2 linked regions of the Arabidopsis thaliana genome follow. The protein of the gene in region 2 interacts with the protein of the main gene of each other region in a pairwise test. Each region holds a gene or a part of one and is shown on either strand. Other genes may lie near its edges.

Evidence for each region.
Region 1: the proteins of MIND (region 2) and MINE1 interact in binary tests that used the Arabidopsis thaliana proteins (3 or more experiments, as listed by UniProt).

What each region holds. Positions count from the first base shown.
Region 1 is NC_003070.9:26,082,685-26,086,438, reverse strand, and holds the start of MINE1 (homologue of bacterial MinE 1), read right to left. Parts: upstream 1,878-3,754; 5' UTR 1,719-1,877; coding exon 1,617-1,718; intron 743-1,616; coding exon 155-742; 3' UTR 1-154. Other genes in the region: RRG (sporulation protein (DUF155)), read left to right, coding at 3,008-3,297, 3,428-3,542, 3,651-3,754. UniProt on the Arabidopsis thaliana protein: Acts as a topological specificity factor during plastid division and specify plastid constriction sites (such as the Z-ring) in a MCD1-dependent manner. Especially involved in epidermal plastids division in a FTSZ1-dependent manner.
Region 2 is NC_003076.8:8,114,558-8,118,311, reverse strand, and holds MIND (septum site-determining protein (MIND)), read right to left. Parts: upstream 1,648-3,754; 5' UTR 1,582-1,647; coding exon 601-1,581; 3' UTR 225-600; downstream 1-224. Other genes in the region: AT5G24010 (Protein kinase superfamily protein), read right to left, coding at 1,928-3,754. UniProt on the Arabidopsis thaliana protein: Together with ARC3 and MCD1, regulates FtsZ ring positioning in chloroplasts in an ARC6-dependent manner. Calcium-dependent ATPase required for the correct placement of the plastid division site. Inhibits FtsZ filament and ring formation in the plastid.

The sequences.
Region 1 (3,754 bases), on a different chromosome or scaffold from region 2:
TAAAAAAACTTATAAGAAAAGAGAAGTTGCATATATATATATACATGGGGAGTGTCAAGAAACTGTCTTTGTTCCCTCCAGACTAAACTTGAAGAACATCAACATAACAGACAAGATACTATCCAGCAAATAAATCTAAGACTGTGCCTTTTCATCACTCTGGAACATAAAAATCGAACCTGACATCGACAGAACCATCACGGGTATCTTTGTATTCCACGTTGGTTATGGTTCCAGCCTCGTCCACGTCTTGGTACTCTGGTTTCACCCTTCTAACAGGCACCGTGACCGAGTAAATGGTCCCAAGGTCACCGTCCGTGGAAACATTTAGCTGAACTTTTTCCTCTGATTCTATCTCTACGAAATCCGACAGTGCATGGATAATGTTGTTGACGATTTTCCTTTTAGCTTCGTCACTAACATCACACCTGTCGGAGAAGAGGATCATCTTGAGCCGCTGCTTTGCAATTCTTGCGTTGGAGCTTCTTCTTGATGCGTGAGATGGGAATATTATCTTCCAAGCCAAGTTTAACCTGTCAAAGAAACCCATGTTGATGGCATTATAGAGAAAGCTCTCTATCTCTTGCTCTGCTGGGCTTGGTGATAGTTCATAGTCTCCGGTGTTCCTTGCAAGAACCTTCACCTGACCTCGTGTGTTTTCGCGGCTGATCGCCAGTCCAGGAGTACATTTCTGAGTTTCCAAACTGTTTACGCCATTGCTTATGAATCCCGTGAAATCAACCTGCAAATTTACATCCATCACCCGCAAAAAGGGACTGTAATTTCAGACTAGTTGCATTTTGAGAACTCAGTAATTGTTATCGTACATCTATAGGTAAAGCAACTATAACATCAAAGCTGACCTAAACGTATATGTTTTCTAACAAAGTAGCAAAACATCAGGTCATAAACACCACAAACATCTGCATATATCTAACAGAAGACCGGTCTAGTCTACGTAATCCAAGGCACCACCACCATTGTTAAAAAGACTTAATATGAGCTACAAGCTTAAGAACATATTCACTCTCTTTGATCATCTATAGGTAAAGAAGCAACTGTAACATCAAAGCTCATCTTAAACTTAATGAAATGGTTTTGTAACAAAATTGCAACACATCAGGTCATAGCACCACAAACATCCGCACATATCTAACAGAAGACCGGTCCAGTCTCGCTCTCAGTAATCAAAGACACCACTTCCATACTATAAAGACTTAATATGAGCTACAAGATAAAGAAAATATCAAAACTACAAAAAAGGAGGATGGTCATGGAGATGGATTCGTTGGCTTTCCTAAAAACAAATATACTTAAGTTTTGTTACTAAAATCCTTCATTTCCAAGTGCCTAAGTAAAAACACAGAAACTGGAATGATAAACTTTCAGGAGCTCGCGATGAACAAGCAAATCTAGAGCTAGAGAGAAATTGTGAAATTGTTCCAATAAAAGACGCATTTCAGATTCTTCCTAAACCACACAGACATAGAAACGAAAGATCGAAGCTAGTAATCTAAGTTCTCCTAATTTGGTGGCGAATTTCACGAGCTCCAGATCCCAAATTGCAGCGAAGAGAAAATTTGAATCGTAGAGTAAGAATTATAAGAAAATCGGACCTTGGAAGAAGAAGAAGGTAATGAGAGGCGATTACGGTGGTGATGATGATAAGGAGATACTAAGGTCGCAGAGATCCTGAGAGTTCCAGAAGACATCGCCATTACCGAGAAACTTGAAATTGCTCGCCGGAGAAGTGAATCTTTTTCGTCTCAGTTAAAAGAGAAATGAGATTACGACGACTCTTCTTACAAAGTAAAAGGCTATCGAGCACTTTAAGAAACGCTGTCGTTTAAAGGCTTGAAACACAGCGTTTTAACAACTGCCTAACCGATGTCGTATCATCTATTTTAATATTAAACCAAAACAACAAAAAAAAACTACTTTGCAACTTTTGGTGTTTGAAGTTTAGAAATTAGAAGAATGACGACAATAGTACCAACTCATTCAAAGGTTTTCTATAACTCATTCAAAGGTTTTCTATAAGCAAAATGTAAGCTTTATAAAAAATCACATTATTGGTAAAGCTGTAGGCAACCACAAATAACTAATAAGTAGTTTTCAGATTTGATGGATTGTAATATTTGTTCTTTAAACTTCAATCTAACAAAATATCCGTAAAGATGACTATTTGCATTCTTGCTGTTTTATTAAAAATATGATCTTTTGACAAAAATATTTCAAGTTTTATAGATAAACCACGAATAAGTAGTTTTTAGATTTGAGAGATGTGCTTTTAGTCAAGTGGTTAAGTTCATTTGATTTCGTCTTTCTATCGAGGTTCGATTCCACTAAGTCGCGTTACCCTATATAGTAGAGTTTGACTATATATTGGACCTTCTAAAAAAATAGTATTTAAATTTGATGGATTATAAAATTATTTTTTAAAGTTTAATTTATAAGAAATCTGCAAAATTGACTATATGCGGGGTTATTGGTGTTTTATCAATAATTATGATCTTTTTGATAAACTTGTTCCAACTTTTACAAATAAATCGCATTGATCTCGGAAAAAAATTGAAACCCTAGAGAATTTTCCAATCCCATAACACTTGGTAAGGACTAGACATTCGTCATTCTTCTAAACTTCAAAAACCAAGGCTACAAGATTAGGGCTTTTCTAACTTAACATTTTTCCAAGATAGGGTTTTAGGTTTTTGTTTTGGCTTAATATGAAAATGCTACAAGAGGGTTTTAAACTTTTTGAAACAAGTTTATTAAACGAACCGCTGTCGTTTTAGTTAATTAAACAAAAAACACAGTCGTTTTGAAACAAGTAAAACGATCATTTGATTAGGGGACTGTGGTCACCGGCGGCGAGAACCAAGGCTTCTTCGTAACCAAATATCTTTCGATATCAAAAGACAATCTCTCCAAAATACAAATTGACTAATATAATAAGTCGAGAGATTCTGGTGCAGAGGACAAAAAATTTCAATTTTGATTTCATTGAATGGGTAAATGGAGAGCAGTAGCTGCTCTTCTTCTTCGTAATCAATTACTCAATTCTTCAAAAAGACTAAACCTTTCTTCTTCTCCATGTGTTTCGAAACACCCAACGATTGGTTTAGCTTCTCGCTTTCTCAATTTCCGACACTTTTCAGCGTTCCCTTCTCCGATTTCGATTTACAACAATGACTCTGATTCTGGGTCGAATGATGCATATCAAAACTATGAATTTGGAACAGAGGCAGAGGAAGCACTAGGCAAAATCCCTATCAAAGCCTATTTTCTCAGTACTAGGTATGTACATCTTTGGTATTGGGACTCACTAGTGAAAGTTTTGAATTTGGAATCTTTACAGTTTGAAAGTTGAAGTCTGTTATGTGTTTTTCATTTATAATTTGGTTTCTCAGAACTATGGTTTTGGCAGTATTGATTTGAAGGCAATGCAAGCTGAGAACTTATGCAATGTTGTTCCTCCTACTTCACGTTCTACTAATTATATTGCCCTCAAATTTTCGGATTTTACCCCTTCTGGAATCTATGTAAGTTTTATTCAGAAACAGTTTAGCTATGTTTACTTATCTGTTGATTATTGAGTATAATGCAAATGGCATGCCTTTGGTTACCTTATCTTTGTTACCTTTCTTCAGAGTTTGGACGAGAGGGAGAGTGTAAGCAACTGCAAGTTCATGGTTGTCTTTCAATATGGTTCTGCTATTCTTTTCAATGTTGATGATAATGATGTTGACCGTTA
Region 2 (3,754 bases):
TGTATAAATAGCATCAGAATTATGATACGCGATCATGTTGGTTCTACTATCAGCTAAGCCCTCTAAGAGCTTCAGTATCACATAATCATTTCTATTTCGGGAACTTAATCGACACCGCCATATCGATAAATCAAGAAGGTAGAGAATCAAATGGCATAATACCAAGCTAGACAGCACTAGTACTCAAGCCTACATAGTACAAAAGGGCCAGCAAAATCATCACCAAACCAGTAGCTACCGAATTCATACTCGCGAAAAGTTCTGATAAGATCAGCTAAGCTATTGAAGTTCTCATCATAACGATTTGACATAAGAACTTGAGATATATTGGAAACTCTCAATTTTAACATAAACAGATTACAGAAACAGAAATCAAGAACCTCAAGAACAAAAGGCATAAGAATCAGAGCTTGAACTCAGCAACAAACTAGCAGTAGAATTCCACATTGTCCTAGGAACAAATCTAAATTCTCAAAGCAAAAGAGACAAAATCTTCAAAAATCTCTAGCTCCTGTACAAAAGATTTCAATGCATACATACCCGAGGAAGAAGTTTCAGTTCAGTTCAGTACCGTTCGGTTCGGTTCGATCCGTTTGCCATTTAGCCGCCAAAGAAAGAGAAGAAGCCACGTTTCTTAGGTTCTTCCTCCACCATAACAGCCTTCATACTATCTTGCTCAACGAGTCTCCAAGCCGCCTGCTCAAACGCCAATCCCGCAAGCGTAGGAGGCTTATTCAGAACAAGCGGAAACCCTCGATTCGTGCTTCGAATAACCTCAGAATCTTCAGGAATTACACCAAGCAATGACAATCCCAACATCTCCTGCACATCTAACACTGACATCATATCCTCTCCTTTAATCATATCAGTTCTCACTCTGTTCACAATCATCTTTATATCTCTGATTCCATCGCATTCTAACAAACCCGTAACCCTATCAGCATCCCTTAACGCTGTTATATCCGGAGTTGTTACCAGAACTGCTTCATTCGCCGGAGTAATGGCGGTTATGAATCCGGCATCGATTCCTGCAGGACAATCGATGATGATGAAATCCGGTGAACCTTCCGGTCTAGTTTTCAACGCATCCACAAGCCATTCCAATGCTTTACCACCAAATCCCATCGGAAGTTTCGATCTAGGTTTAGATATACATAGCAATTCGAAATTCGACCAACGCTTATCACGTACCAGAGCTTGATCGAGACGACAATCTCCGTTTATAACCTCGACGCAAGTGTAATTGACTCGATTCTCTAACCCTAGGAGGAGATCGAGGTTACGGAGACCAAGGTCGGCGTCAATGGCGACAACTGAGAAACCGTAACGAGCGAGAGAGAGACCGACATTTGCGGTGGTTGTCGTCTTTCCAACACCGCCTTTTCCGGAGGTGATAACGACGATACGCGGCGTTTCTCCGGCGAGTTCCGGTTTGCGATTAAATTGAAGAACGGATCGTATTGGACTCCGTCTGCTAGGGTTATTGACGAATCTTGGTGAAGATATTAGAGTCTTTTGTGAGAGAGATGATGGAAGGAGAAGAGATTGATGATTCGTTGAGAACAATCTCAGAGACGCCATTGATAGTGCTGCTGCTTCTTCAGCTGTCTCCACAGAGACAGAAATGTTTCTGAGCGTTGTGGCTTCACAGGGTTTACGGTTTATCAAGAACTTTTGAGATTCCGGTTTTTAATTTCTCCACTCTTAACCGGTTTAATATTTAACCAAATAATGTACTGGTTTTAACGGTTTATGATTCATCCATATCAAATGAACAATCATAGCTCTACAAGTTACAGAAACCAAACAAAATTATACCAAACACGAACCGAATCTGAGATACCGGTACACCGCTTTGGTTTCCCGGTTTAGGTATTGTACTCTATGACTATGATAAATACTTGCTCTATATAGCAATGACTTTAATTTATCTCCCAGCGTTGGTCATTAGCTGAGAGAACACTTGGGTGCTACTGATTATGCCTGAAGTTCCATCTCCATAGTCTCTCTCTATGTTCGAGCCATTAGACAGACCTTGCCGAGCCGTTCTCGGGTCGGTAACATCTCCATAATCTTCTTCAGGAATGTTCAATGGTCCGGATTCTTGAAGCTGAAGCACATGTTCTAAGTTCCATAGAACATCGCCAATTGTCGGTCTATCTACACCGTAATCCGCACAGCATTTCTCTGCGGTTTCAGCGAATTTCTTCAACGAGCACGGTTTGATTTCATCTGCGATATTCGGATCAACGATCTGATCAAGCATCCCTTTCCTTTGCCACTCTATTGCCCATTCTGCTAAATTTACTTGCTCCCTAACAAGCAACGGATCAACAGCGGGTCTAGCGCAAAGAACTTCAAAAAGAACAACACCAAATGAATAAACATCGGACTTATCCGTGAGCTGTTGTCTTCTGAAGTATTCAGGATCAAGATATCCAAAGCTTCCTTTTACACCGGTGCTCACATGTGTCTCATCAATACAAGGACCGGATCTTGAGAGTCCAAAGTCTGCAACTTTGGCTACATAGTTGTTATCTAGTAAGATATTGGTGGATTTGATATCCCGGTGGATGATTCCTTGCGAAGAACCGGTGTGAAGGTAATGAAGTCCTCTGGCTGCACCAATGCAGACCTCAAGCCGTTGTTTCCAAGATAAAGGCGGGTTGGTGGATCCGTATAAGTGACTTTTGAGTGGTCCTTTATCCATGTACTCATAAACAAGAATCATCTCAGACTGTTCTTCGCAATACCCAACAAGTGAAACTAGATGGCGATGACGGATCTTAGAGAGAATGGTTATCTCAGAGAGAAACTCTGGTAAGCCCTGTCTTGAACCAGGAGAGCCTCTCTTCACAGCTACTTTGGTGTTGTCTTTAAGAGACCCTCTAAAAACCATCCCGAATCCGCCAACTCCGATAACTAAACTTCTATCAAAGTTATTGGTTCCGGATTGTAACTCCGCGAACGAGATTCTCAGAGTATGGTAGCCACTAGAACTAACAGTTCTTTCAGTTGTTCTACTATTGGAACTGCCTCTAAACCTCCTCAAAGGTGTCCATCCCGTGCTCTCTGAACTCCTCGTCTTGTTGTTCTTGCGCCTGCACAAGCACAAAACGCTCAAGAAGAACAGCGACAAGAACACAAAACCTCCCAAAACCGAGCCAACCACGATCCAGACAACATTCCTCTTTCCAGATACCACTTCAGAACTCACAGGGCTCAAAATCCTCATGATCTCAACTCCATTCAATAGAGCATTAACTCTCGCCGGATTACTAAGATCAGACGGTCCAACACTAATCCTCAACATTCCAGAACGATCAGACTCCGCAACAAAATCAATGTACAACGGAGACGCAAGCACATGGAAAGTAAGCGTGGAGAGATCAACATCCTTAAACGCAAGATACTCATTGATAAAGACATTGAAATAGAGCTGATTAAGCGACGAACTAACGATATCGCAGAAATGCAAACGAACCAAATGAAGAACTCGTTTCTCATCAACCTGAAACCCCCAACTAATGTTAAACCTTGCCTGCAACTCCTGATTATCTCGATCCATCTCCTGAGCAGTCATATAAACATTATCCGGAGCAATCTCTCTCGTGGCACCACCGTTTTGATAATTCGGAGAATGAGTAGTCCAAGCACGTCTAGCAGCAGCTCTCAAGAGAAGATAGTTGTCATCAACAACCCAAGTCCTCCACAACGTATCATTAAACGGCGTCAATTTCGAACCACCAACGTT